Oryctolagus cuniculus: one gene and its partners. The main gene of each other region encodes a partner of the protein of the gene in region 2 in a complex. Links are inferred from orthologs where the notes say so. Each region holds a gene or a part of one and is shown on either strand. Other genes may lie near its edges.

Evidence for each region.
Region 1: CUL3 (region 2) and KLHL21 share a complex: the UniProt entries of both Homo sapiens proteins name them as parts of the BCR(KLHL21) E3 ubiquitin ligase complex. The link is inferred for Oryctolagus cuniculus from reciprocal best matches to the Homo sapiens genes CUL3 and KLHL21.
Region 3: the proteins of CUL3 (region 2) and KLHL22 are in contact, whole or in part, in a cryo-EM structure (PDB 8K8T), measured with the Homo sapiens proteins. The link is inferred for Oryctolagus cuniculus from reciprocal best matches to the Homo sapiens genes CUL3 and KLHL22. Residues at the interface, in NP_003581.1 of Homo sapiens: Thr14, Arg17, Ile18, Arg19, Ala20, Phe21, Pro22, Met23, Met25, Asn49, Ser50, Gly51, Leu52, Ser53, Phe54, Glu55, Tyr58, Tyr62, Leu66, Met118, Asp121, Ile122, Met124, Tyr125, Arg128, Val129, Gln133; in NP_116164.2 of Homo sapiens: Asp73, Tyr74, Arg76, Gly77, Met78, Gly81, Gly82, Leu83, Lys84, Glu85, Leu92, Ile93, His94, Leu117, Gln121, Val125, Cys128, Gln129, Gln131, Pro133, Trp146, Glu150, Asn151, Asp154, Val155, Arg157, Leu161, Phe162, Asp163, Ser165.
Region 4: CUL3 (region 2) and KLHL25 share a complex: the UniProt entries of both Homo sapiens proteins name them as parts of the BCR(KLHL25) E3 ubiquitin ligase complex. The link is inferred for Oryctolagus cuniculus from reciprocal best matches to the Homo sapiens genes CUL3 and KLHL25.
Region 5: CUL3 (region 2) and KBTBD8 share a complex: the UniProt entries of both Homo sapiens proteins name them as parts of the BCR(KBTBD8) E3 ubiquitin ligase complex. The link is inferred for Oryctolagus cuniculus from reciprocal best matches to the Homo sapiens genes CUL3 and KBTBD8.
Region 6: CUL3 (region 2) and KBTBD4 share a complex: the UniProt entries of both Homo sapiens proteins name them as parts of the BCR(KBTBD4) E3 ubiquitin ligase complex. The link is inferred for Oryctolagus cuniculus from reciprocal best matches to the Homo sapiens genes CUL3 and KBTBD4.
Region 7: CUL3 (region 2) and KBTBD2 share a complex: the UniProt entries of both Homo sapiens proteins name them as parts of the BCR(KBTBD2) E3 ubiquitin ligase complex. The link is inferred for Oryctolagus cuniculus from reciprocal best matches to the Homo sapiens genes CUL3 and KBTBD2.

Annotation. Positions count from the first base shown.
Region 1 is NC_091438.1:160,937,298-160,941,495, reverse strand, and holds the start of KLHL21 (kelch-like protein 21), read right to left. Parts: upstream 2,801-4,198; 5' UTR 2,744-2,800; coding exon 1,723-2,743; intron 1-1,722. UniProt on the Homo sapiens protein: Substrate-specific adapter of a BCR (BTB-CUL3-RBX1) E3 ubiquitin-protein ligase complex required for efficient chromosome alignment and cytokinesis.
Region 2 is NC_091434.1:14,728,538-14,732,037, forward strand, and holds part of CUL3 (cullin-3), read left to right. Parts: intron 1-862; coding exon 863-987; intron 988-1,298; coding exon 1,299-1,395; intron 1,396-2,118; coding exon 2,119-2,253; intron 2,254-3,500. UniProt on the Homo sapiens protein: Core component of multiple cullin-RING-based BCR (BTB-CUL3-RBX1) E3 ubiquitin-protein ligase complexes which mediate the ubiquitination and subsequent proteasomal degradation of target proteins.
Region 3 is NC_091452.1:29,973,368-29,977,307, forward strand, and holds the start of KLHL22 (kelch-like protein 22), read left to right. Parts: upstream 1-1,140; 5' UTR 1,141-1,281; intron 1,282-1,296; exon of another isoform or gene 1,297-1,441; intron 1,442-1,777; exon of another isoform or gene 1,778-2,193; intron 2,194-2,689; exon of another isoform or gene 2,690-3,287; intron 3,288-3,940. UniProt on the Homo sapiens protein: Substrate-specific adapter of a BCR (BTB-CUL3-RBX1) E3 ubiquitin ligase complex required for chromosome alignment and localization of PLK1 at kinetochores.
Region 4 is NC_091443.1:1,880,618-1,884,557, reverse strand, and holds the start of KLHL25 (kelch-like protein 25), read right to left. Parts: upstream 2,801-3,940; 5' UTR 2,657-2,800; intron 2,421-2,656; exon of another isoform or gene 1,874-2,420; intron 1-1,873. UniProt on the Homo sapiens protein: Substrate-specific adapter of a BCR (BTB-CUL3-RBX1) E3 ubiquitin ligase complex involved in various processes, such as translation homeostasis and lipid synthesis.
Region 5 is NC_091441.1:82,545,751-82,549,941, reverse strand, and holds the start of KBTBD8 (kelch repeat and BTB domain-containing protein 8), read left to right. Parts: upstream 1-1,391; 5' UTR 1,392-1,516; coding exon 1,517-1,532; intron 1,533-2,145; coding exon 2,146-2,356; intron 2,357-4,191. UniProt on the Homo sapiens protein: Substrate-specific adapter of a BCR (BTB-CUL3-RBX1) E3 ubiquitin ligase complex that acts as a regulator of neural crest specification.
Region 6 is NC_091432.1:18,411,037-18,415,265, forward strand, and holds the start of KBTBD4 (kelch repeat and BTB domain-containing protein 4), read left to right. Parts: upstream 1-1,429; 5' UTR 1,430-1,566; coding exon 1,567-1,585; exon of another isoform or gene 1,586-1,665; intron 1,666-1,735; exon of another isoform or gene 1,736-1,831; intron 1,832-1,922; exon of another isoform or gene 1,923-2,033; coding exon of another isoform or gene 2,034-2,049; intron 2,050-2,405; exon of another isoform or gene 2,406-2,467; coding exon 2,468-3,085; intron 3,086-4,229. Other genes in the region: NDUFS3 (NADH dehydrogenase [ubiquinone] iron-sulfur protein 3, mitochondrial), read right to left, coding at 108-205, 1,179-1,244, 1,356-1,419. UniProt on the Homo sapiens protein: Substrate-specific adapter of a BCR (BTB-CUL3-RBX1) E3 ubiquitin ligase complex which targets CoREST corepressor complex components RCOR1, KDM1A/LSD1 and HDAC2 for proteasomal degradation.
Region 7 is NC_091447.1:23,651,136-23,654,635, forward strand, and holds part of KBTBD2 (kelch repeat and BTB domain-containing protein 2), read right to left. Parts: 5' UTR 3,169-3,500; coding exon 2,999-3,168; intron 1-2,998. UniProt on the Homo sapiens protein: Substrate-specific adapter of a BCR (BTB-CUL3-RBX1) E3 ubiquitin ligase complex that acts as a regulator of the insulin signaling pathway, modulating insulin sensitivity by limiting PIK3R1/p85alpha abundance in adipocytes.

The DNA of each region.
Region 1 (4,198 bases), on a different chromosome or scaffold from region 2:
TGTGGGACAGCGGAGCCCCTGCCGGCCAGCTCCTGGGGCACAATCCCAAGTAAACAGACACAGCCTCCCTCCCTGACCAGGGCCTGGGGCCCCGGGGTCAGACCTGCTGGGGAGACACCAAGCGTCTGGGTGAGCACAGGCACTGCCCATCAAATTCTAGCCAAGCTTGTGCGCGGCAGAGGGAAGGAGGATTCGGAACACGGCAAGTGAGGCTGAGAGGGCTGTTCCGGTGCTGGTTCCCGATTTTGGTGCAGGTCACCCAGGCGTGTTTTGTTGGGCAAGCCGCCCAGGCATGTCTACGCTTCTGAATTCTATTCACATCAGTAAGAAGCTAAAAGAACCCCGAGGGGTGCTGGCTGTCACCCTCAATTAAACTGCACCTACTAAGAGCATGAGAACTCCTGGGGCTCACAGGGAGCCCGGGAACCCTTGGGGCTGCACCTCTCGGCCTGGGGCAGGTGCCACAGGGTGGGGCAGACATTCCGTGTCTCGTAGCTCAGAACAAAAAGGGAGAAGACAAGAGTTCTTGGAACGCTCCCCCCTCAGCGGGCCTCCTCACCCCCACGAAATCCCCTCCGGGCAGCTGCACGGAATGACCCAGCCACCTGCCGAAACCGCGGCTGCTCAGTCGTGACAATTTATGGAAGGGCGTGCAGAAGCAGGGGCCAGTCCGGCCAGTTTGGGGCGGGAGTTCCTTGCTCAAAGCCACTGGTCAGACTTCTGTGTGTGAGGGATCGAGTCCCAGACAAGCTTGCAGGCCAAGGAAGCTGCGGCCCACGGAGCTGAGGCTGTCCCTGGGCCCCTCCCGTCCCCCTTGTCACCTAACGAGAAGCCACAGTACATCTGGGAGGGAGCAAGCTTTGTCCAGAGTGTGCCAGGCTGGGCACAGCCACTGTGATAACCAGCCCCGCGCCTCCCTGCCTGATAAGAGCCACCAAGGCCTGGGTTCTTTCCTTATATAGCAGTCCCAGACACCGCCCCTCCTCACCCCTCCAAGGAGGTAGCCTCCTGTTTGAGCGCGAATTATCCTTAATGAAAAACGTGGGAGAAGCCCAGGGCTCGGGCAGGCTGGGGCCCGCCCACCATGACTCGGCAGTGTTTTGGGGTTTGGGCCAAGGAACTGGAAGAAAACCTCCCAACATGTGACCCTGTTTACAGTCCCAGGCCTCGCGGGGCCTAAGCACCACGTGACCCCCAACGCAGGGCTCAGGTGGGAGTCAGAGGGAGCCCTGTCACCCGGATGGGGGGAGTGAGTCAGGAGGTCCCAAGCCTTGTCACCCGGGCAGGGCACAGCGAGTGAGTCAGGAGATCCCCTGGCTCAGCGGGGAGGGGACGGCCCCGGCTGGGGGAGAACGTCTGGCTCCCGCCCGTCCCTGGGTTCCCGAGGGAAAAAGAGAAAGCACCCATTGTGTGGGTGAATGCCCCAGCCGCTTCCAAATGACCAAGGTTGGGGGGGGGGGCTCTTGCCAGGGAGGAGCTGGCTCAGCCAGGCAGGCCCGCGGCACAAGGCACACAGACCACAAGCAGCTACTTGTCTGTCCCCCCCACCCCCTTTCCACACACACACACACACACACACACACACAGGGCCCTTCTTCTGGTTTCCAAGTGTCACCAAGACACACCGCTGCCCAGGAGCGGCCCCTCCACTGCAGGTAGAGAGGCGGCCTCCCCTGGGGCCCGAGAACCCGAGCGCACCCCCCGCCAGCCCAGGCCACTCACCCGTCACGTAGATGTCGTTCCCCAGCGCCACGATGCTGTAGCCTCCGCCCAAGTGGTCGGGGAACTCGGCCAGGTAGCGCCACTGGCCCGTCTGCGGGTTGTAGCAGTCGACGGTGACCAGCTCGTCGCAGTCCTGGTCGCAGCCGCCCACGAGCACCAGGATCTCGGCGAGGCCGGTGGAGGGGCGCGGGCGCATGCGGGGGCAGGGCCCGCGGTCGTGGCGGTCGTAGCGCGCCGCCTGGAAGTCGCGCGCCTCGCGCAGCAGGCGCAGGCAGGGCGGGCAGCGCGCCACCAGCGGCTCGGCCTCGACGTGCGCCAGCAGGTAGAAGCGGCGCACGAAGGGCAGGCGCACGGCCTCGAGCAGCTGCGGCCAGTGCGCGGCGCGGCGCGGCGGGTCGGCGCGCACCCAGCGCAGCGCCAGCTGGTAGGCGGCCTCCTCCTTGGGCACGCACAGCCCGTCGTCCCGCAGGTAGCGCAGCAGGCGCGCCAGCGGCAGCCGCTCCAGCTGCTCGGCGCCCAGCTCGCCCACGTGGCGCAGGATGAAGCGCTGCGCCGCGCTGGCCAAGCCCGAGCAGCTGAAGGCCTCGGCGAAGTCCTGCATGTCCAGGCAGTTGGCCAGGTCGAGCTGCTGCTGCAGGAAGGCGCCGCACGCCTCCTTCACGGCCGGGAACTGCAGCAGGTCGGCGGCGCGCAGCAGCGGCTCGGCGTTGTCGCCGCTCACGGCCACGCGGCCCGTGTAGCTGAAGTCCAGCAGCAGCTGCAGCATGTCCGGCGGCACCCCGTGCAGGCGCACCCGCTCGGCGCGGCTTTCGCGCAGCTGCCCGGCGAACATGGCGCGGAAGTAGGGGCTGGCGGCCGCCAGCACGGCGCGGTGCGCCGGGAAGTCGCGGCCGCCCGCCGCCTCCAGGGTCACGTCCAGGAACTTGCGCTCGGCGCGGAGCTGGCTCAGGCCGCGCAGCAGGCTCAGGGCGTGCGCGGGGTCCGAGAAGGGCAGCACGGCCAGGGGCGCCGGCCGCTCCATGGCGCTGGCGCTGGCGCTGGCGGGGGGGGAGCCCGAGGACGCCGCGGCCGCCGGGCGCCGCCGCTCTAAATACGGCCGGGAAGGGCGGCCCGGCGGGGGCGGGGCGGGCGCGGCCAGCGCCGCCCACTTAACCCCGCCGGGCCCGGCGCCGCGCCCGCCCCCGACTCTGCCGGCTGAGTCACAGCTGTCCGCGGCCCCGCCGCCTCGCTCCGCCCTCCTGCCGGGGCTTCCCGCGGCTCCCGCCGGCGCCCGGGCCCGCGGGACGGCGGGTGGCCAGGGCGCACTCGGGCCTGCCCACGACCCGCCCAGACCCGGCCGCTCCGCGGAACCCGGGAGAGGCTAGCGGGGCCCCGAGGGCGAAGCCACCCCCTTTCGCGCCTGGGACAATGGCCTTTATTTATTGGTTGATTTGTTTCCTTAGTTCCGAGGGTTGCTGGTGAACCCCATCACGGGACTGACTTCGAACGAGATACATACATATATAATTTGTTTTTCTTCTACAATTCAGGACCGAAGCACGCACAAGCCTGAGGGGTGTCGGTGACGTTTCTTCTCGGCGCATCCATAAGCGACCCCGGGGCCGGACCCCAGACTCGCGCTCCGCGGTGGCGTTGCGGGGGTCGCCCAGTTACTGCCCAGCCGCGAGCCGGACCCTGCGGGCTCCGCAGCTGCCCTCCCAAGGAGTGGACCTGCCCCGGGGCGCCCCGGCCGGCGGCTCCGCGGGAGGCCCAGGAGCCGAGGCCCCCAGCGGGGACAGGGAAAGCCTGGGCTCCCCTCCTGTGTCGGGGGAGGACACTTGGAAGCCGCTTTGCTCAGGGTCAGAGCAGAGCAGTCCTGGGGTGTGCAAACTCGGGTGCTCGCCGCCCACGTGCGCCCCGGGAACCGGCTGTCAGTCCCCGCCCGCAGCGAGCCGGGCCCCGCACCGTGCCGCCGGGCTGCGTGTCGGGTCCGCCCGAGCGGACAAGCCTCCAGGTGCCCTGCGGGCTGCCCGTTGCCCATAGAAGGACTGCTCTCACGGCTGCCAGCGGCCGCGGCCCCGGCATTCCTGCCCCGGAGCCCGGCCAATCGCTCAGTTGCGTAGGCTTTGTGACGAGCGGGAGCCACCAGGAAGTGGACGTTCGCGGCGGGCCTGCAATGCCCCTGGGTCAGCCGTCCACCTGCACTCGCTCAGTGCCGCTTCCGGCCCGGAGCACACAGCAGCTTTTTTTTTTTTTTTTAATTTCTAGCAACAGGCGCTCATTTAAACATCTTCTGTGCATCTCACCGTGCAGCCATGAGGAATGCTGGAGAAATTTACGGAAAGGGAAGGGTGGGTGGGCCGTGCTATCGTGTTAACTGAAAAGTCAGATTACTGAGGGTATGAGCCAGTGGCCTGTGTGTTCATATGTCTAGAAAAAATAACATTTACTTTAGATGGCTAAGGTTTTTTTTTTTTTTTTTTTTTGCTTACCTGCA
Region 2 (3,500 bases):
AAGTTACAGAGGGGGTGAGATAGACAGAAAGGTCTTCAATCCACTGATTCACTCCCCAAATGGCTGCAACAGCTGGAGCTGGGCCAATCCAGACCCAAGAGCCAGGAGCTTCTTCTGGATCTCCATTGTGGGTACAGGGGCCCGATTACTTAAGTGGAGCAGCCGGGACTTGAACCGGCGCCCATATGGGATGCAGATACTCCATGCTGAGGCTTAACTCATTGTGCCACATTGCCAGCCCAAAACAAAAAATATTTGTGATAGTGATGCAGGCATATATTTTGTAGAAGCAGTTATCCATTATACCACTAGTGCATGTGCTTTGTAGCACTGCATCTACAGTTTCATGTTTCCTTTTGTTGGTCCTATATGGAGGTTGTTAGAATGTGAGCTGCCTATTGAAACATGAAAATTTTGTTCAGTGTCATTGAATTTGGGGTAGGATATTAGAAACATCCCATTTATCTGTTCAGATGGTAAAAACTGAGATGGAAGATGTTATAACTTTCTTTAAAATGATATTGAAATAACCTGTTGACATCTTGGGGAAAAAAAAAAAAACTTGAAGGATCCAAACTTTGCACTTCTCAATGATACCATTAAGACTGTGTTCACATGCTAAGAACTCTCCCTTGTTTTTAAGTTAATATGCTGAGCAATAATGAAAGTATTTACCATGACAGCTAAAATTGGGAAAACAATACACAAATAGAACCTCTATGAAAGTCTGTTTTATATACCAGATGTTGGACATTCATTTATATATTTTGATACAACTACTTTGATAAATCTGGTGCCATATCTATGGAATGGGTAACAGATCCTAATTAATTTGTGGGAATTGTCTTTCTGATTTACATAGGTATCCTTAGGTGGTGTTGATCTCACAGTCCGGGTGCTCACAACAGGCTATTGGCCCACTCAGTCGGCTACACCAAAGTGCAACATCCCACCAGCACCAAGACATGCTTTTGAGATATTCAGAAGGTAAACCTAAATCATATGTGCATTTTCAGTCTAAATAATTGTCCAAAAATAAGTGTACTACCTTTATCTTTTTAATATCTAGCAAAGTTGCAGAAGTCTCAACTCCCCCATTACCTTTTCTGTTTCCTCTTTTGTAAAAATTGGAATTGAATTTATTAAATCTTCGGGTTTCCTTTAAGGTTCTCATTAAATTTATATTTAAGAGTTATTATCCTGCAGTTTGTAATTTCACATGTATAAATTGTGTGATTGCAAATACAAATTGTATATAAATTCTCTGCTTCTCTAAAACCTGGTTTGGTTTGCTTAAGGTTCTACTTAGCCAAACACAGTGGTCGACAGCTCACACTCCAGCATCATATGGGTTCTGCAGATCTCAATGCCACTTTTTATGGACCAGTTAAAAAGGTAACTTTGGTTTGAATGTTCTAAGTTACTGAAAATTTGTCCTTAGAGCTTATGATGATTTCTGTTGACTCAGGTACATTTTTAATTCATATTTTCTATCTGTTTCAAATATTAAAAATGTTAAAATACGGGCTTGGATATTTTACTTTTTTACCTCAGTTGTTAACTTTATTTGAAAATATGAAGACTATGCTAGTAGCCTTCCTTAAGGAATAAATAATGCTAGTGTAATTATACATTATATTTTTAAAATTAAACTTGAGACAGTATTGCATAAAATAGGAAAATGAAGTTGATCTGAAAGTATGCAATCCTTATATCTGATCAGCCACAAACCAGAAAATTAGTACTTGAAATTTTTGAAATACGTAAGCATTCATGTCATTAAAAAATTCAGTGATGCATTAATGATATGCCTTCTTAATTAAAGTACTTTGTGTGTTCTATCACTGTCATCGTGGTGAGTACTGTTAAAATAATTTCAAATTTAAATATAGGGAATTGGTGCTCAATTATTTTCTCAGATACATTAAAATATTCACAATGCAAGGAGAAAGGACAATCCTAAATAAAGATTTGTTTTTGTATGTATAGGATTTTCTTTTGATGCAGGAATAAGTAGTGTTAAGGGATAGAAATGACAGGAATTTTCTGAAACATACATTAAAATTATCAGGAGATAATTATATCTTGTTTATATTTTTTGTAAAAAAATTCAAACAGGAAGATGGATCTGAAGTTGGTGTTGGAGGTGCACAAGTAACTGGCTCTAATACACGGAAGCACATTTTACAAGTCTCTACTTTCCAGATGACCATATTAATGCTTTTTAATAATAGAGAAAAATACACATTTGAGGTATGGATTATGCTTATATACATTTTAACCAGTTGTTTTCTTTCTCTCATTGTGGGAGTCTTATTTGAGTAACCCTAAGATAGTTTTTCAGAATATATTTATAGAAAATTGCATAAAACTGGGCCATACGTTTCTTGGGTCATGTTTCTTTTTGTTGGTTTATTTTTTTAAGCAATTCTTTGATGCATAATTTTCATGTAATAGAACATAGCCCCTGAAAGCACATGATTTGATGAGCTTTAAACATGTGTACAATGTAATCAAGAATATTAACTCCCAATCTCTTTGTCTCCCCTCTCTTCTATTCCCCTCCCATCTTTACTATTCAAATAAATAAGTAAATCTTTAAAAAAACAGAAAATAAAAAAGCCAGCAATGTGATGCAGTATGTTAAGCTGCTGCCTTTGACACCAGAATCCCATGTTGGAGTGCCATTTCCAGTCCTGGCTGCTTTACTTCCGGTCCAGCAGTGGATGGATGATGTCCTACATACACTTGGGCCTCTGGCACCCATGTGGGAGACCAGCATTGCATTTTAGGCTCCTTGCTTCAGCGTGTCCCAGCCCTGGCCCTTGCGGTGGCTTAGGGCATAAATCAACAGCTGGAAGATCTCTTTCTTTTTTTGTTTCTCCTTTCTCTTTGTCACTTTACCTTTCAAAAAACAATAAATAAATATTTTTTTAAAGATTTTATTTATTTATTTGACAGAGTTACAGACAGAGAGACAGAAAGGTCTTCTTTCCGTTGGTTCACTCCCCAAATGGCCGCAACGGCCAGAGCTGGCCCGAGCCGAAGCCGGGAGCCAGGTGCTTCTTCCCAGTCTCCCAAGTGGATGCAGGGGCCCAAGCACTTGGGCCATCTTCTGCTATCCCAGGCCACAGCAGAGAGCTGGACTGGAAGAGGAGCATCCGAGACTAGAACCAATGCCCATATGGGATGCCAGTGCCGTAGGCAGAGGATTAGCCTGGTGCACCATGGCACCAGCCCCAATAAATAAATCTTTTAAAAAAAAAATTATTTCCCCCAGGTTTCTTTGTATCTTTTTAACTTTGATTTAATGAATATAAATTTCCAAAGTACAGCTTATGGATTACAATGGCTTCCCCCCACCCCATAACTTCCCTCCCACCCGCAACCCTCCCCTTTCCCTCTCCTTCCCCTCTTCCATTCACATGAATATTCATTTTCAATTCTCTTTATATACAGAAGATCAGTTTAGCATATATTAAGTAAAGATTTCAACAGTT
Region 3 (3,940 bases), on a different chromosome or scaffold from region 2:
TGCAGGGCCCAAGCACTTGGGCCATCCTCCACTGCACTCCCGGGCCACAGCAGAGAGATGGACTGGAAGAGGGGCGACCGGGACAGAATCCAGCGCCCCGACCAGGACTAGAACCCGGAGTGCCGGCCTCGCAGGCGGAGGATTAGCCTAGTGAGCTGCAGCGCCAGCCAAAATAAATATATTTTTTAAAGATTTATTTTATTTATTTATTTATTTGAGAGGAGAGTTACAGACAGTGAGAGGGAGAGACAGAGAGAGGTCTTCCATCCGCTGGTTCACTCCCCAGATGGCCGCAAAGGCCGGAGCTGCGCCGATCTGAAGCCAGGAGCCAGAAGCCTCTTCCGGGTCTCCCAAGCGGGTGCAGGGGCCCAAGGACTTGGGCCATCTTCTACAGAGAGCTGGATCGGAAGGGGAGCAGGCGCCCACATGAGATGCTGGCGGCACGCAGGTGGAGGATTAACCTAGTGCGCCACAGCGCTGGCCCCAATAAAATAAATCTTAAAAAAAAAAAAAAAAAACAAAACCTGATGACCTCTCAGACACTCTGCTGGATCACAAATCCACGCCTTTGCTGAACGCGTGCCCTTCCTGCAAAAGCTTCCCTCGCTTCCCTAAGTTCTCTTCCGTTGAGTGGGGGAAGGTGGGACAGGGAGCCATCTGTCACCTCCTCCAGGCAGCCTTCCTGGAGGTTCTGGGAGGCGCTAAGACACCAGACTGCTAAGCGCCTCCTCACGGATGGCTGGAACCAGGCTTCAGGACTGGGAGTTCGATTAACTCCAGCAAACAGGAAAACGAACCCCTGTCGGCCAGGGAGGCGTGCAGAAGTTGTCTCCGACATGCAGCAGAGGGCGGGGGACCTCGGGGAGGCAGGGGGCGAGGAGGGGGCGTGACGGAGAGGAGGCGGCAGGGGCCGAATGGAGGAAGTTTGCAGCCTCGCCCTGGGACGTCCGTTCACTTCTTCACTCATTCATTCATTCACTCGTTCCGCTGCGCAGGTGCCAGGTGCAGCGACGCACACGGCCACCCCGGCCGTCGCCGCCCTCCGCGGGCTGAGCCCGGCACCCGAGCTGCCCACGCTGGGAGGGGCGGCCCCGAGCCGCAGCGCCCCTACACCCTTCCGCCCGCCCCCGGCGGGGGCACCACGCTCCCTGCTCCCCAACCCCGCCGGTGCCCCTGCCCCGCCGGCGCGCCCTGCGCCTGCGCGGCGCACCACGTGACGGCCTTGGCCCCGCCCCCGCCCCCGCCTCCCGCGAGTGCGGCCTCGGCTTGCGGCGGCTCCAGGTCAGCTGTGAGGCGTGGACCGGGCGGGCCGAGCGGGCCGGGCTGAGGGGAGCGCGAGCGGCGGCGGGCGCGCGGGGCGCGGGGCGCGGGTTGAGCGAGGCGCGCGAGCGTGCAGGGGGGCGGGCGCGGGGCCGCAGATGCGCGGGGGCGGCGGCCTGAGGTGAGCCGGGGACCCTGACGTGGCGGCGGGGGAGCGGCCCGAAAGGGACCCCCGAGGCTGGGGCTCGGGGCGGGGGGGACTCGGCGCGGATGCGGGGCCCACCGGCCTCTTCGGCCCCGGGGTCGGCGCCTGTCACCCGCAAGGCGATGCTAGTGCGGCCTTGGCGGCGGCGACCCTCGGCGCTGGCGCCGGCGGGTCCTGCAACAGGCGGGTGTGTCGTGGCCAGGCCGCCGCGGCCACCAGGCGTGACCTCGGACCTCGGCCTGAGAGCTTCCCGGGAGGGGAGGGGAGGGGAAGGCAAGGGTCGCAGGGCCGGGGGTCGCCACCGTGGCAGCCCAGCCTGGCCGGGTCGTCCGGCTTCTTCAAAGAAGCCGGAGATAGCGCTGTCAAAGTGCAAAAATCGCCCGGCCCGGAAGCCTCAGCCGCCAAGGTCTATTTTCGATCCTGGGCGGGCCGAACCGATCCGACCCGACCCGGGTGGGCGTGTGGGGGGGCGCTATCAGCTTCTGTCCCGGGCTTCTCCGTGCGGGGCCCAGGCTTGGGCGCGCAGGGACGCACGCTCCAAGTCCGCTTTTTCGGAGCGCGTCCGAGTCGGCGCCACTTTGGAGCCTTTGCCCCACCTCCCCACCCCCTCCCCGGAAATTAGGACCCACTTCCTCGTCTCCTTTGCCTGCGTTGCACTTCTTGCCTCGTGTCGCCAAGCATTGGGGTGCAGCCACTGCTCTTTGTGGGGGCGCCTTCGTTAACGGACGGTACTGTTGGGGTGAGGGGCTCTCTCTGCAATGCCGTCGACTCTCATGCCTGAGTTCCTAACATTCCGCTTGTCCCTGCTTGGAAGGAACGTAAAGCTCTCTTTGGGCCCCCCTCCCCCGAATCTGAACTGCACGGAGTGGGGAGACCTTGCTTACGTCGTCGGTTAGAGTCGGGCTGCTAAGGGCCCCGAGGGGGCGGGGCACTTCATCCGCGGACAGGGCTTCAGGATGGAGTAACTCCGGCGGGCCAAAGAACGCGTTGCTAAGAACGTTCTACTTTATCTTCGAAAAGCAGGCGTGGGAAAGGATATGCCTTGTTCCCTTCATCCTCTCCTGGTAGAACTAGTGTCCCTTACAGAAATGCAGTTACACTCCGAAATGCTTGTTTCTCATCCAAATCAGCACAGATTAGAAAGGCACACAGTGGGTGAGGTAGACATTGGCCTCCCTCCGGTTCGCCTGCTTTGCTGCTGGGGATGGGGTGGGGCGAGGCGGGGCTTTCTTTTATCTAGAAACTTTTCGTGGGATGGCACAGCTAAAGGGCTTTTAACCTACAACTGCTTGCAGTCGCAAACAATTGGAGGAAACCCAGATGTCGCTCTAGGACTGGTTAAATAAAACGTCTTTATCTATACAGTGGATGGTGGGAGGGATATGAAGTTCCATGAAAAAGCTAGTGAATACCAGGACAGGGGGCTGACACTGTGGCTCAGCAGGTTAAACTGGCATTGGCTAAACTGTGCCTGGTTTGAGTCCTGTCTGTCCTGTGCTTCCCACCCAGCTTCCTGCTAGCGCACCTGGGAGGCAGTGCTCCCACTCACACGGGAGACCCAGATGGAGTTCTTGGCGCCAGGCTTTGTCCTTGGCGCAGCTCCTACTGCAGCTCGCACTTGGGGAATGAGCCAATGGATGCAAGATCTCTGTCTCTCCCTCTGCCCTTATCACTCTGCCTTTCTAACAAATGAATAAATCTGGAAAAGAAGAAGGGAGTAGGGGAGGGATGTTGGGATTTACAACAGTTGCCTGAGACTTTATAGATGCCTTCTAGAAGCTTCCTCTGGGAGAGGATCTGGAGGGGCAGAGCCTGGACAGTTGTAAGTTTTACAACGGACATTTTACTGCCTCTTGAATTTGAGTCATGGATGTATTATGACTTAAAAATATGTTTGATGATTTCTTACTAAACACATAACATTGACAGGCAAATATAAGGAGTAGCAGATCCTTACCAGTGTTTTATGTACTTTTTTTTTCTTTCTGGAGATAGTCATGACCCTGCATTTGACATTTATTGTTCCTATAAATGTGTTTGTACTGTTTTATACCATAATATCCTCCTTGCATGCGATCTTGAATATTATTGTTTTGCTGTTTTTTTGGACTTCATGTCAACAAAGTTGTCTTGTACCTGTCCTGGCATTTTCTGCTTTCTCTCTCCGTAGCTTTGAGATTCTCCCACTCCACGGCTAAAGCTTCAGTTCTCAGCTGCTCATTTTAACTGCTGTGTTCTGTGAAGTCATGGACCCCAGTAGGCCTATTCCCCTGTGGATGAGTGTCTTCTGTGGGGGTCTTCAATGTTTTGGCACTCTGTGCCACTGTGGTCGGTCCATGATGGCAGGGAATCGGCTCGCTTTTCTTCACAGCCCCTCAAGCACCTACCGCAGGGGTGGGAACTTCCAGCCAGCCCAGGCCACATTCGGCCAGCAAAAGCATTTGGTTTGGCTCTGCCAAGGCAGCCACAGGCGGG
Region 4 (3,940 bases), on a different chromosome or scaffold from region 2:
GCCCCTTCCCAGGGTCTAGCCCAGTGCCCGGCGCCCACGGGTCGAGGCACCTGCCGCCCTGGGCCTCAGGGGCCACCTGGGGCAGCAGCACCAGGAGTCTGGACGCTTCAGGCAACGGCCGTGGCTTCCTAGAAGAGCGAACGCTCCATCCGCGGCCAGACCGGCCAGCCGGCTGCTGTCCCCGCAGGCGCTCGTCCTGAGGTCGCAGCGAGAAAGCTCCTCTTGTCGTCATTAGGAAAGTAATTCCCTCAGCCCGGACCGATCTGCGGTCAGCCTCCCCGGGGGCGCGAGAGGCACAGAGGAAGCGCCACGCGGGGCACCGCCCCGGCCCAGGGGGTGAGGGCCGCCCAACTGGTCCTGCGGGTGAGGCGAGGTGCGGCGGGCACTCAGCGCCCCTCACTCTCCGCCTCCCTGTCCAGCTCTTCCAGGAGGCAGCCCCGGCTCTGCGCCCGGGCTCCCGGGGGCCAGGCCTCACGGTCTGCTCTGGGGGGCGCCCGGGCTCCCGGGGGCCAGGCCTCACGGTCTGCTCTGGGGGGCGCCCGGGCTCCCGGGGGCCAGGCCTCACCGTCTGCTCTGGGGGGCGCCCGGGCTCCCGGGGGCCAGGCCTCATGGTCTGCTCTGGGGGGCGCCCGGGCTCCCGGGGGCCAGGCCTCACCGTCTGCTCTGGGGGGCGCCCGGGCTCCCGGGGGCCAGGCCTCACCGTCTGCTCTGGGGGGCGCCCGGGCTCCCGGGGGCCAGGCCTCACCGTCTGCTCTGGGGGAGCCTCGGCGCTCCCACCGCCCCTGCCCAGGTCCCAGCACAGGAGCAGCCCTGGGCAAGTGAGTCACCCGCATGCCGCCTCCTCCACGCCCTCGCCCGCAGCCCTGGGCCCCAGCTCTGGGCAGGCACCCAGGAAGGCTGAGGGACGAGCGCCTGTCCCCCTGGAGTCACCCCCAGGAGAAAGACCCCACACCCAGGGAAGCCAGGGTATGGAAAGGGGAGGGTACGGCAGAGCTGGTGCTGCACCCAAACCCCGCCCCCGGGGAATGCCAGCTGGGCCGGCAGGCACCGGGGCCCCACACGCTGAACATCGGGGCTTGGAAGAAGTCAACAGCAGCATACAAAGGGGCATCCACCCATTGCACAGAACAGCAAACCGAGGCCAGGGAGCCCAGGAGCCTGCAGAGACGCATGCACGAGCCTGGCCAGGGCGGCACGTTGCCTGTGTGTGCAGAAGAGACGGCGCTCGTCCCAGGGACACACAGCTGCCACCTCCACACACCGGCCAGGGCGGGACTGTGGTCACCACTGGGGACCTTGCGTCCCGGGTCTGGCTCGAGTCCCAGCTACTCCACTGCCCACGCAGCCTCCTGCTGATGAGCGACTCGGGGATGGGGGTGGTCAGCAGGTGGAGCTCTGGGACTTGGGTCCTCGCCACCCACGGAGAAGACACAAATGGGGGCTGGGCTCCTGGCTGCGGCCGGGTTCGCTCAATGTCTACTCCTGTCTCTTTCAAGTTAAATGAAAACATTAAAAATCTAACAAGAGGATGATGAGCCACAGTACCCACCCTTTACCCGGCCACCAGCACCAAGACGGGGTGGGGGGGTTGTTGACAGCAAGAAGGCCACAGGGAAGGGAGGGGCCGGCGAGGCTCCCTGTGGGGCCTGCATGCCCACAGCCCTGGATGGCCACCGGGCTCCAGAGGGTGGGGGCTGACCGGAGACACAAGGCAGCAGGCAGCCCCTTCCCCAACCCCCGGGGAGCAGAGCGCAGGCCCAGCGGCCACACCACGCTCAGCTTTGCAGGCTTCCGTCCCGCCGGGGACAGGACAGGTGCGGGCAGGTGAGCCCCCTCCCCGGCCCCCGCGCCCGTGCCAGCTGAGCAACTCCACCTGGACAGGTGCCCCTCACTGACCGCCTCATTTGCCTCTGCCAGCCCCTCCGGCGGGCCTCTGGGGTCAGGGGGTGGGCTCTCCCGGGACCCCAGGAGGAGGCTAGCCTGGAGCCCGCGCTGGGGCTGCGCTCCGCTGAGCCGAGGGTCTTCTCTTCGCCCCTGCGCCCCCGCACGGGCACGGCCGACCGGTCCCCGGCAGCACCGCCTCGGCCTCTGCAGCCAGGGCGCCCCGGCTGCACCCCACCCCGGGGGCTCCGCGCGCTGCTGGCTCGGACGCCCTGGCCGAGGGGTCCTTCCTTCCGTTCAGCTGCGGGACCCCCTGACGAGCGGCGAGCCCTCCGTCCGCGGGGCTGGGGCCGCCGGGTCCGCACACCGCCTCTGCCCCCAGCCAGGGGCCCGGTGCCGAGTCCGCGGCCGGCCCGAAGGCGACTTCCCGCCGAAACCCGGCAGGCCCGGCGTCCGGTCCCCGCTCCCGCGGCCGGGCCCGGACACAGGTCCCGACGGCAGCGGCTGGCGAGGCCCCGCCGGGGCGGGCGCGGTGCGGGGGTGCGGGCAGACCCAGGGCGCGGCGGGCGGGCCCCGACCCCGGCCCACCCGCGGAGACGCGCCCCGACCCCGGCCCGCCCGCCGCGGAGCGCCACGCTCGCCCCACAAAGAACCGCGGCGCGCGCCGCCTGGCTGACCGGTGCGGGTCCCGCGGGCCGCCGGTGGACGCCCGGCTCCTGCGCGCCGCCCGGCCCCAGGGAGGAACACGCCCCTGGGCGGCGGCCCCGGCACTCACCGAGACCCCGGCCCGCTCCGCTCCGCCGGACGAACCGCCGCGGGACCGCCGAGACGCCGCCGGCAGCTACTTTCTCCGGCCGGCCCGCCCCGCCTCCTGGCCCAAAGCGCCGCAGCCAATCAGAGGCCGCGCCTCTGTGACGGACGGGCGGCCGAGCCCGTGGCAGCCGAGGCGAGGGGCAGGGCGTGCGAGCCGCGCCGGTTCCGCGGGGGGCGGGGCGTGGAAGGACTGGGACCGGATTCTTAAAGGGCCAGGCTCCCGCGGCCCCGGTGCCGGACGCCGACCGCCTCGACATTCTAGAGACTTCGATGGACTGATGAGCTCTGCCACCGCGGCGTCGGGGCGGGATCGTCCGCAGAGTCCCGTGGGGTCACGCGCGTCTGTGACGAGGCGTTCCCACAGGGCTCAGCCCAGGGCTTCCCGGCCGGCCCGGCCTGCTGTGCGGGGTGCGAGCCCCGGTGACTATGGGGTGTGTGGGGGGGGGCGGCTTGTGTGTGAGTGTGTGTGTGTGAGGGGGTGTCGGCGTGTGTGTGTGTGAGGGTGTGTGTGGGGCTTGTATGTGTGCAACCTGTGTGATAAGTATGTGTGTGACGTGTACGTATATGTGTGTGACGAGGGTGTGGGTATATGTGTGACCTGTGTGTGACCCTGTGTGATGTGGGGTGTGTATATGTGTGATATGTGTGTGACCTGTGTTTGACCTGTACGTGTGTTTATGACCTGTGTGTGACCATATGTGTGTGACCTATGTGCGATGTGTGTGACTTTGTGTGACATGTGATGTGTGTATATGTGTGTATGTGTGACGTGGACGTGTGTTTATGACCTGTGTGTGACCGTATGTGTGTGTGACTGTGTGTGATATGTGTGTATGTGTGATGTGGACGTGTGTTTATGACCTGTGTGTGACCGTATGTGTGTGTGATGTGTGTGACGTGTGTGTATGTGTGTATGTGTGACCTGTATGTGTGTTTATGACCTGTGTGACCGTATGTGTGTGTGACTGTGTGTGATGTGTGTGTATGTGTGTATGTGTGATGTGGACGTGTGTTTATGACCTGTGTGTGACCATATGTGTGACGTGGACGTGTATGACGCGAGGGGAGGCACCGGGACCTGTGACTCCTGCAGCGCAGGGTGACCTGGGTACCGGGCAGAGTCGCCCTGCGGGCGGCGGCGTCTCTCTGCTCCCACGTGGAGCGAGGTGGGCACAGGTGAGGCCAGAGGCCAGGCTGCAGGGGCCAGCGCCCGAGGTCCGCTTCGCGCCCGGTCCTGCAGGCGGCC
Region 5 (4,191 bases), on a different chromosome or scaffold from region 2:
ACTAACTCATACGGATGTCCATAAACCCGTCTCAGGGAACCAATGAGCTTTTTGTTAATTTGCATGGGTTTGTATTTCTTTGAACTCTAATTTTCTCATACTCAGGTAACAGACTGAATTGTTTTTCAACATTTTCTCTCTTTATCTCAAACCACAACTTAAATTCCAAGATCGTTTATCAAGAGGTTCAACTGTTTGATCTTTTCATTGTTAGAAAGTCATGCACCTGCACTAACTCTATCTCTATTAAGCCCATCCCATTCCCTGATAAGACTTCCTTACACCTCCAAGGTTTAGCATTCCCACAGTTAGCTCCTTTGTACCTGACACTTATCTTGAAAAACATTAAGCATCTATAATGTGCCAAGCACCCTGTGAGATGCCAGAAACACACAACATTTGAATAAACCAAAACATGCCCACAAAAGAATTTCTGCTTTCTTTCTCAAAACTTGTAGTGTACGGTCCAATATAGATTACGATACACACGTCACAGATAAAGGATTTAAGTGCTCAAGAGTTAAAGAGTCTTATCTAAGGTCGCACAAGGAGTAAATAAAGAGCCAGGGTATCAGTGAGGGTCCCCGGGTCCAGGCTCAGCATGGTCTCCAATATTTCTTCCAAGGAAATTCCAGGCGGCTTAGTATCCTAACCTCACCATGGCCCCGGGAGCAAGACCAGGAAGACCTCCTGTAATCCCTCTATCGTGTTTAGGTGCTCCTAAAAGTGGAACAGGTGATGCCCGGAGTGCACAAGAAGCCAGGCACGCGTTAAATCAAGGTCGTGAGCAGCCCTTGTAGCCACACCAGGCTAATCTGGTCACGGAGCACAGGGCCAAGGCGACACTATTTCAGCTGGGTGTCACAGGTGACCCCTTCCAGGCGGCCTGCCTTCGGGCCGCCGGATGTTTTTCTTCAGGGTGGGGTGTCAGATTTCCTTCGCATTTTTGGACCACAGCCCTCCTGCCCATTTCCACATTTTTCTGGTTTCACAGCCCTCACGTAGAGCTCGCCTCTAAAGCGGAAACCTGTCCTCGGCGGAAGTTTAATGAATGAAGATAAAGGCTTAAAAGGGGGCGGGGGGAGGAAAGGCAGGAGATAGGCCTAAAATGGGAAAATTCGCACTCGAAAATCTTTCCCTACCTCAGCCCCACAGAATGACAGCTCTCCCCAGTCAGAAGACTACCTCTCCCGGCAGACACTGCGCGTCCCATGGCCACAGGCTGGCGGGCTCCCAGCTCCCCACCTCCGCCCGAACCAGCCAATAGAAATCCTCGGCTTGGGCCTCCGCCCGACCCGCACCACGCGGGAGCGAGGGCAATAAAACTACATTTCCCGACGTGCAAGCTTCCGCAACGTGGCCAATCCACGCCAGGAATTAGTAGACTGGGGGGCGGAGCCTGAGGCTTAGGCCACCCCATTGGCTAGGCGAAGCTTAGAAGAGCCGGAACCCGGGAGCCCGAGAAGCGAAATGACATTTCCTCTTTAAATAGCTAGAGCCAGGGCCCCATCGAGAAATGGCCGCGTCGGCAGGTGGGTCGCGTGTGGCTAGCGCGGTGTGAAGAGGGTGTTTATGGGGGGGAGGCGAGCCGAAGCTAGGCACAAGGTATGAGTTGAGGTGGTAACAACGAGGAGCCGGAGAGGAGGATGGAGAAGTGGCGGGGGCTCTCGGGAGGGGAGGATGAATGGCGTGGTGGGCAGTGGGCGGTCCGAGCGGACCGGGATGGGGAGGCTGGGTACCCGCCGTTGCTCCGACCTGTTCGGGAGGCGGCCGGGGGAGGGGGGGGGGGACCGGCGGCCGCCATCCTTCGAAATTCGCTCGTGAGGCTCCTGCCGCCGGCTGTCGGCGGCGTCGCCGCAGGCGCCTCGCCGCTGCTGCTGCTTCTGCTGCCGCCGGCGCGTTCCCTCCGCGAGCACGGGGCTGCGGGCTCGCCGGGCTCCGGCAGGAGCCGGCGGGCCTTTGAACTCCGCTGGGCGGCTCGCTGGCTGCGCTCTGGCTCCCAGATCCCTCCCTCGCGGTCTCCTGCGGCGGGGAGTGTGTATCCGTGGGCGAATTTTTGTAGGAGGGGGCGCAAGCAGCCAAGGCAGCACACGCCGACGCCGTCATTGGCTCGAACTTCTTTTGGTTGTATGATTTCTCTCCTAGATTTAAGTAAGCCTTCCCCTACACCGAATGGGATTCCGTCTTCAGACACAGCCAGCGATGCCATGGACCCCTTCCATGCGTGCAGTATTCTTAAGCAACTCAAAACCATGTACGATGAAGGACAGTTGACAGACATTATAGTGGAAGTGGATCACGGGAAAACATTTTCCTGTCATAGGAACGTCCTTGCGGCGATCAGCCCTTACTTCAGGTATGATGACCGTAGAAACTTCCATGACTTCGGCCCCAGGCCCCCGTGCCCCTCAGTGCCGTCCCCTTGGAAAGCAGCCAACGAGAACAGGCAGCAGGCCTTGCAAACCCGTGTTTTTGACTTGAGGGATTCTTCTAGAGTTCAACCAGTCGGTTTGTAAGTTATCGAACCTGTGTTGATGTAAATGAGCAGAAAGTCTGTGGCAGCCCCTGGCCTCACAGAACCATTTACACTTAAATTATTTTAAATTAAATTAAAAAATTAACTCCCTGTGGACGGTAAACACATTTCAAATACTGGGTAGCCCCATGGTGTTAGTAGATGCTATATTGGGAAGAGGAATAGACAACAGTTCCACTTAAAGTATTATGGGACAGTTTTGTTAAACGTTTTATTGGGCAGCGCTGATGAAGAAATTTGTTCCAAAAAGTTAATCATGATGCATATTAGAGTTTAAAACACGGTAGCCTGTTTGTTTGAAAACCAACTCCTGTTGAACAGATTGTTTTAATACTATGGGGCTAAATGGAATGGAATAACAATGAATGAAATATTTCCAGATGTGTTTTTATACTGGGTTTTCATTTATATTAATCTTTGAAAAGTAAAATTTAAAGCTTTTAGGTTTGAAAAGTAACTTCATACTTTAAGATGAAAGTAGTGAAAAAGGCAGTGTCCTACCTGAGTTTTACTCCTTTTGTTTCAAATGCTCACTTTTTTAGGCCTTTTAGTTTTCAAAAGTGGTACCTTAATAACAGTAAGATCATCTTCTCAGCCACTCTGAACGTGCTTTTTCCTTTTGAAGGTACTTACCTTTTATTGGGCACATACTGTAATGTTCCAGGTTGCAGTTTCTGGTTCCTCTTTCTCAGAATACTGGGTTAAATATAGTTACTTCCGACTGATACTTCTGATATAACCATTTAGACTTGCCAGCTTAGGTCATTGGACTACTAAGTATTCATCATTACAAGACAGTGAGCCAGAGGAAAAAAAGTAAAACTTAGGTATACGCAAGCTACAAAGTTTGTCCTGGTAATGGAGACTACTGGTAACGTTCAGTTACCCTGGCTATGTATTAGATAGAGTTAAGTCATTTATGTTTTAAATATGTGTATACTTCAAAAAGTTCGTGGGAAAATGCAATTAAAAGGTAACTTTATTTTAGTGATTTTGAAATGCACTTGTTAGCTATTGTGCATTTTCCATGATCTTTTTGAACACCCTCCTTGAGAGTAGGGGTTACGTGGGCCGCAGGTACTATTTACCAAGCTTTTGTGTGCCTTCAGTAATTTTTATAATCTCAGCTCTGTACAATTGTTAGTCCCATTTTACAGATCAGTAAACTGAGGGCCAGTGAGGTTACCTGACCTATCTGAATCATTTGACTGTTGAATGGCAGAGGCTGGATTTGATTCTAGAATCAGGCTTGTTAGTCACTGTGGGACTCCTGAGGAACTTGAGTGGGTAGAATGGGTCCTTTTTACAGTTGCATTTCAAGAAATGTTATTTATATATTAGAATTGAAAGCAAAAAAGTAAACAAAACTTCAAAGTGAAAATGTTTGTATCTTACTGAAATTTTATACTCTAGATTGTATCATTTAAATCAATTGAATTAAAATTAGTTTTGAAGACAAAGTACTTTAGAAGAAATATGCTACAATAGATTTTCCTAATTTCCAAGAAGTTAAAAAAATAGAAAACTTTAATCATAAGATATGTACATTCAAATGAAGATATTTGGCTAGAAAATGTGAGGATTAAGTTCTTAGCTCTTGCTAGAGATTACTGTACAGAAGTTTTTTGCCACCACTGTTTCTCCTTATGTGGGAT
Region 6 (4,229 bases), on a different chromosome or scaffold from region 2:
CGTCACCCAGTTACTGCCAAGAAAGCAGCCCAAGTCTGGGGAGCTTTGGTTCTTTGAACCGAGGCTGCTGCTTTTCCGTACTCCGACCCACACAACAGCAGCATTACCTGAACGTGCTGGACATACTTGGGCAGGATTTCAGCCACGTATTCCCCGAAAGCTGAGAGTTGCTTGTGGGCCACGTCATTCCGTGGTCTGACAGTGGCTGGAAAGAAAAGAGACAGTCAACAAAGGAACGGAGGGAGCCGCAGCCGGCCTTCCACAGTCTCTCGGGCTTCTAAGGGGCGTCATGTCCCAGCAGAGATCCCTGGAGACCCTCGAGAAAGGTGGGACTGGAAGCCATGAGAACGTGGGGAAATAACATCTCAACCACAGTCCACAGGACTCAGCACTGCAACTGCGATGTTGGCATCTTTCAGAACGCCCACAGCTCTCTGACATAGGGCGCAATCTCAGCTCCCCTGCTAGACCAGGAGCTGAGGACAGGAACCAACACTTTTGCTTTTCCGTATCTCCTTATCCCAGGTTCTCAAGCTAAGAACTTTAGGGCTGAAGAGCCCTCAGAGATGATTTCTTGAAATGGTCAGGGTTTGTTTTGTTTGTATGAGACAAAGGAGACCCAGAAAGGAGGGGATGCCAGGTCTGCCAGCTCCCAGCCTGCTTATCATGTTGACTGCAACACAGGATCTCCCTGCAATGACCTAAATCACTGACAAGCTGCAGAGTGCTGGGTGGGCCCGCTCTGTCACTCACTAGGCCTGTGACCCGGGCAATTTCACTCTCCGGGTCTGCAGTGTGGGGAGTTACTAGCTACATCCTAAAAATGACATGAAGACTACAGAAGATCATTCACTAAAAAGCCGAGTGAGGAGCTCTGACACAGAGGAAACACCGGGAGCTGCTAGCATCCCACGGCTCAGACCCAGAAGTTAGGTTTCCTGCTCTTTCATAAGAGCTGGCAGTTCAGTCAGAGAAACAGGGTCACGGAGGTGGCCAAAGGACAATCAGGCAGTAACAGAAGGGTCTAAGAGCACGGACGCGGCTGGCTTCTGCAGTCAGGTTTCCAAGGACAGGAAGGCATCCGCCAGGGGCACGCGGTGAAGGGCACCCTAGGCAAGGACCCCGGTGAGCAGTCCCCGTCGGCGGGACGGAGAAGAGCGCTGCCCGCACATACTCACGGCGCGTGTCGGCCGCGGCGCTCTCCTTCCTCACCGGCAGCAACAGCACCGAGGGTCGCCCGGTCCCTGCACAGGCAGATAAAAGGCACAGACGCGCGGGGTGAGGCGTGAGGAGCTCAGCGCGCCGGGCGCGCCCCTCCTCTTAAACCCGGCCTCAGCCGATTGCCCCCTGCTCACCCCTGGCCAGCGTGGCGGCCCTCACGAGACCGCGCCACCAGCCCCTAGCCGCCACTGCCGCCATGTTGCCCGGATGTCCACCAACTAGCCCAGGGAAGGTTCGCAGGACACGGAGCCCCAAGGGCACGGACCGGAAGCGGAAGTGTGCAGCAGATCTTCTTCCGGGCGGACTCGAGGCCGGAAGCAGGGGTTCCGGATTCCGGGCACCGGGATGAAAGGAGGGAAGGCAGGTGAGAAAACGCGACGGACAGGTGGGAAAGCCGTGAGGTGGACGTAGCCTTAGCTCAGTGTGACAGAGGCTGGAGAGAAGGTGAGGACGCCGAAGACCTGGGGGGTGAAGGGAGGGAAGGAGCGGGCGTTCTGGGTTCTACGTTCCACACCCCTCCCCCGCTCTCCAGCCTAAGCTTTTGACGAGGGCAGGCGGGACTGAGGGGGAAGAACCGTTTCCCTGGCGACCGTTTCCCTGGCGACACCAGGTGGAGTGGGGACCCTGCACTGGGTGATGGACCTCCTAGTGCCCCGGGCTGGGGGCGGCTGGGCTCTGTCTCGAGTTCCGGGACGGAGCCTTGGGAAGTCATTAGGGCAGGCCGGGAAGTGGGTGGGGGAGAAGCTCAGAACAGCAGGAGTGGGGCTGACGGCTGTCCCGGGCCAAGCCTCAAACTGGAGGGTCTGGGCCCCATGCATAGGGCAAGAGGTGACTTGGCCACAAGGACGTAGATCTTGTTTTGTGTAGTTCTGCTGCCCGAGGATCCCTAGTTTTATGCTCGAGTTGGTTGCTTAGTAAGGCTTTTAAGGTCACCAGCTTTTATGTGTGGTCCTAAATCCTGTCTTTTGTTAACATTATGAAAGGAATATTACGTATTTTCTCAAGGAAGCCCCCAGAGTTGGAGCTTTGGTTGATTTCACTGGGGGAGGGATGCCTTCGCAGGAGAGAGAACCTGGCTTTGGATGCAGGAGAGGGTCAGGGGCATCATCCGCAGGGCCAGGACTGAGGCCAGTGTGGACCCACTTTGCCCTCACCTTTCCCTTCTCCCTGCCTCATTTGGAGAGTTGGATTCACAGACTGTGGCTGTGAATTCCCCCAAGTTACCCGGGGTGGTATTGCTTTGCAGACAGCTGGCAGAGAGAGAAGCTGGCTACCATGGAATCACCAGAGGAGCCCGGAGCGTCCATGGATGAGAACTACTTTGTGAACTACACTTTCAAAGACCGGTCACACTCGGGTCGTGTGGCTCAGGGCATCATGAAACTGTGTCTGGAGGAGGAGCTCTTTGCTGATGTCACCATTTCCGTGGAAGGCCGGGAGTTTCAGCTCCACCGGCTGGTCCTTTCAGCTCAGAGCTGCTTCTTCCGGTCTATGTTTACTTCCAACCTGAAGGAGGCCCACAACCGGGTGATCGTGCTGCAGGATGTCAGCGAGTCTGTGTTCCAGCTCCTGGTTGATTATATCTACCACGGGACTGTGAAACTTCGAGCTGATGAGCTGCAGGAAATCTATGAGGTGTCAGACATGTATCAGCTGACGTCTCTCTTTGAGGAATGTTCTCGGTTCTTGGCCCGCACGGTACAAGTGGGAAACTGCCTTCAGGTGATGTGGCTGGCCGACCGGCACAGCGATCCCGAGCTCTACACTGCAGCCAAGCACTGTGCCAAGACCCACCTGGCCCAGCTGCAGAGCACAGACGAATTTCTCCACTTGCCCCACCATCTGCTCACTGATATTATCTCTGGTAAGTGTAGGCAAGGGCCACCCAGCTTCTTGGCTGTGGTGTTCAGTGTGTGTTTAAATTCAGGAAAAAGAAACCCCGCAGCTTCTCGGTATTAGTTGACATTATTATTCCTGGTAGGAATTTAGATATCTCCTGGGAGGACTTGAGCAGAGATTGAGGGTAGCTGCTGTTGCAGACAGAGTGCCTTATATAAGAGGAAGCCAGGAAAATAAAAGCAGCAGCACTTGACCCACAAACAGTAGTGAGGAGCTGATTTCTTCTGTGACCAACTGTTCTCATCTATCCTGTATTGCACATAGATCTATGGGCCCATTAGTTCAGTAAGCTGATGAGGTAGGATATCTAAAGTAAGACACTTTACTAGTCGGCCCATGTACTTGGGTCTCTGCCACCCATGTGGGAGGCCAGGATGGAGTTCCTGGCTCCTGGCATTGGCCTTGCTCCGACTTGGCTGTTGCAGCTGTTTGGGGGAGTGAACCAGTAGATGGAAGCTCTCTTTCTGTTTTTCCTCTCTGTCACTCTGCCTTTCAAATAAATAAATACATCTTAAAAAAAAAAAAAGCTTTACTAGTGACAGACCAACTTTAGTTAACGATCATACCCTACAAGTAAGATATAACTCTGCTTTAAGTGTGAGCTCTGCAGCCTGATGGGTTGCTTCCTTGGCAAATGGGAGCATACCGTGTCATCATTAAACAACAAAACCGACATGTATTTATTTGAAAGGCAGAGTTGGAGAGAGAGAGGACAGCAAGACCTTCCATGTGCTTGTTCACTCCCCAAATGTTTGCAAAGCCAGGGCTGGGCCAGGCCAAAGCCAGGGAGCTTGGAACTCCACCCAGCTCTCTAATATAGGTAGCAGGGGCCCAAGTACTCGGGCCATCTGCTGCTACTTTCCCAGGTGCATTAGCAGAGAGCTGCTTTGGAAGTAGAGCAGCCAGGACTCGAACCAGTGCTCATGTGAGAAGCCAGTGTCACAAGTGGTGGCTTAATCCACTGTACCACAGTGCTGGCACCACTGTATCATCATTCTGAGCTCAGAAATGGGGCAGGGGTGGGTCTTGTGCTGCTGGTTAAGCTGCTGCTGGGATGCCCACATCTCATCTTGGAGTACCTGGTTCGAATCCCACCTGTATTTCCAACC
Region 7 (3,500 bases), on a different chromosome or scaffold from region 2:
AAGAAAAAGAAACCTCCCACTAACCAAGATAAAAAAAATTACCAAAAAAAAAAAAAAAAAAAAGGTTCACGGAAATTGAAGAAAGACCTGGCTAGTGATTCTAAAATGAAACAAACAAAAAAAACAAAAAAGGCAACCTTTAAAGGACTGTGTTGTTTGTAAGACTGTAATACTGATTAAAGACAAATTTCCTGGAGGGGCCAGCGCGGTGGCTCACTTGGTTAATCCTCCGCCTGCGGCACTGGCATCCCATATGGCGCCGGGTTCTAGACCCGGTTGCTCCTCTTTCAGTCCAGCTCTCTGCTGTGGCTGGGGAAGGCAGTGGAGGATGGCCCAGGTGCTTGGGCCCCTGCACCTGCATGGGAGACTGGGAAGAGGCACCCGGCTCCTGGCTTCCAATCAGCACACCTCCAGCTGTAGCGGCCATTTGGGGAGTGAACCAACGGAAGGAAGACCTTTCTCTCTGTCTCTCTCACTGTCTCTAACTCTACCTGTCAAATAAAAAAAAATTTCCTAGAATACTAATTACAACTCAATTAAAGATAAATAATCTCATGGCTAGAGAATAGCCCATGTGTTATTTTCTGGTAAAGACGATGACCACACAGAAAATTTAAGTATTATACACAGAATTTCTGCATAGATTTAAAAGTTAGACCAGGTGACTACTAAAGTTACTACCAATAAAGATTCTACTCTGTGATTACAAATGTCAGGTGGAAAACCCACAACTAAGGTTTAAAGCTCTTTCCAACAATGGAGAGTCAAATAATAATTAATGGCCATTAAAAAAGGAGAGTACAGAGCCAGTGCTGTGGTGCCAGCATCCCCTATGGACCCCGTTCAAGTCCCAGCTGCTCCACTTCTGATCTGGCTCTCTGCTGTGGCTTGGGGAAGCAGTACGAGATGGCCCAACTTCTTGGGCCCCTGGACCGGCATGGGAGACCTGGAGGAAGCTCCTGGCTCCTGGCTCTGGATTTTTTTTTTTTTTTTTTTTTTTTTTTGCTTATTTTGGGAAGTGAACCAGTGGAATGGAAGACCCTCCCACCCCACTCTACCCCTGTAACTCTTTCAAATAAAATAATTCTGTTTTTTATTTTTTGCCAGGCAGAGTTAGACAGTGAGAGAGAGAGACAGAGAGAGAAAAAAAGGTCTTTCTTCCGATATTCACTCCCCTAATGGCCGCTACAGCCGGCACTGCGCCAATCCGAAGCCAGGAGCCGGATGCTTCCTCCTGGTCTCCCATGCGGGTGCAGGGCCCATCCTCCACTGCCTTGGGCCACAGCAGAGAGCTGGACTGGAAGAGGAGCTAACGGGACAGAATTCGGCGCCCCAGACAGGACTAGAACCCGGGGTGCCGGTGCCACAGGTGAAGGATTAGCCAAGTAAGCCACGGCGCCAGCCATCAAATAAAATAATTCTAAAAAACCAAACAAAAGGAGCGCATAGGGGCAAGCATTTGGCCCAGAGGTTAAGATACCACTTGGGACACCCACATCCCATATCTGAAGGCCTGTGTTCAAGTCCTGGCTCCACTACCTATTCTAACTTCCAACTAATGCACACCCATGAGCAACAGGCTCAATCACTTGGGTAACTTGGGAGACCTGGACTGAGTTACCAGCTCTTTACTTCAGCCTAGCCAACACTACTATTGCAGGCATTTGGAAAGTGAACCAGCAGAGATAGGAGGTCTATGTCTGTCTGTCTCTGCCTTTCAAATTAAAAAATGCTTAAATGGGGAAAAGGAGGAGAGCTAATGAGCCCAAGTATTAACTGAACCTGTAAACTTGAATTTCTAACACCATTTGCTAAAATAATGAATCTGAAAACAAATCAAAAACAAAAAACCAGTATCACACCATTTAGGAGGCTTTTAAATAATAAAGATTCTGATTTCATAATCCAGACCCCCTGAATAAAAATTTCTGAATTTGAAATCCAATACTCTCTGTAAAAGCACTAAAATTCTAATAACCAACCAGGTTTTAGAACTACTATTTGCAAATAGGCTAAGCTTCCCAACACAGACAAGAAAATCAGAATCTGAAATTGCATCAACAATCCACACTTTAACCTGAAAACAAAAACTGTAAGCACTTGGGCTCTAGCTTCTGCTATCACCATGGGATGCAGTTACACTGAAGAGTATGAAGCTTCTGTATCTTCATGTGGTCAGATTAAATCGGTCCTGTGTATAACTGCCAGTAAATAACAGCAGAAATGAACTCACTGCCAATCTTTACTTACTGGGGGGCGGGGAATATTCCTAGTAAAAATATACTAGTCTACATTTAATTCATCTTATTCATCCTATCCTTTTCAAATATTAAGTAGTAAAAATCAACCTAAGGCACAGAACCAATCGATGTCTTTTGTCTTGGCTTCTACTTCTCATGAAATTTAAAGATACAAAAGGTCACCAAAGTATAAAGTTTATTTGTGACTAACAAATAACTGAAGCAACTTCTATTTTCTAAGGAACAGAAAACACCTAGTAAGGCTAAATGGTTATCTCAAATGGTAACAATAATCACAAGTGAGAAATAGAATTAGATTTTTGTAAAAGAAAGAAAAGTTTTAACATGTCTCAACAGCACCAATTATCCTCCAAAAATTACTGAGCCTATTTTAACACCTCAGTTTTTAAACAAGGACCAATATTTTCTAATTATAATATTTTTTAAAAATCTTGAGTAAATTACCCTGTTTTTCTTTCAAAGGAACAATATTCTGTAATTTTCTGCTCCCTCAAACTTAAAACTTTGCCTTAACGTCAACCAATTTCTATATTTAAACTTCTGTAAAAACTTCTTTACTCTGTTCCGAACTTACACATGCAAGGCAATGACTGGGCAAGCAGTATATCATCTGAGGTAGAAAATCTAAAACATTATAGGATTTTTAAAAAATGTAAAACAGCATTTAAAAGAATCCCTATTAAAACAAGCTAACATTCTATATGTATAATTTACAAACTAATAAAGAAAGTACTTACCTGAAATAAGAGCTACATGTTGCAAGAACCATCTTATGACAAGGGAATTCAGTGCCCTCAACAACTAACACTATATCAGTAAACAACTGCTGTTCATAAAACAGCTTCAACTGTTCCAGCAAGGACACAGCATATTCAGTATTGATCTGCCTCTCGTCTTGAGTGGACATGACTGTATTCCATTAATAGCTCTCGAAACAGATTAGAAAAGTCAATCTTACTGATGGAAGGTCAAGTGAATACTTCTGAAATAAAGAAGCAAGTCTGTTTGCTGTTATCTGTAACATTCAGAGCCAAGACGGACTTTCACTAAGGAATATCTTGTGACAGCCTTAGAATCACTTCTAGGTCATCCTCTGTTGGTCAGGTTCTTCAGGGTTTTTCAACACGAAAACTGGCTGCAGACATCCTGCTCAAAACTGCAACTGTGCAGCTCATGAGCTAAAGAAAAAAGTTCACGAGGTAGGTTCTGTGGCAACATCCTATGTTTAGTGGATCCTCT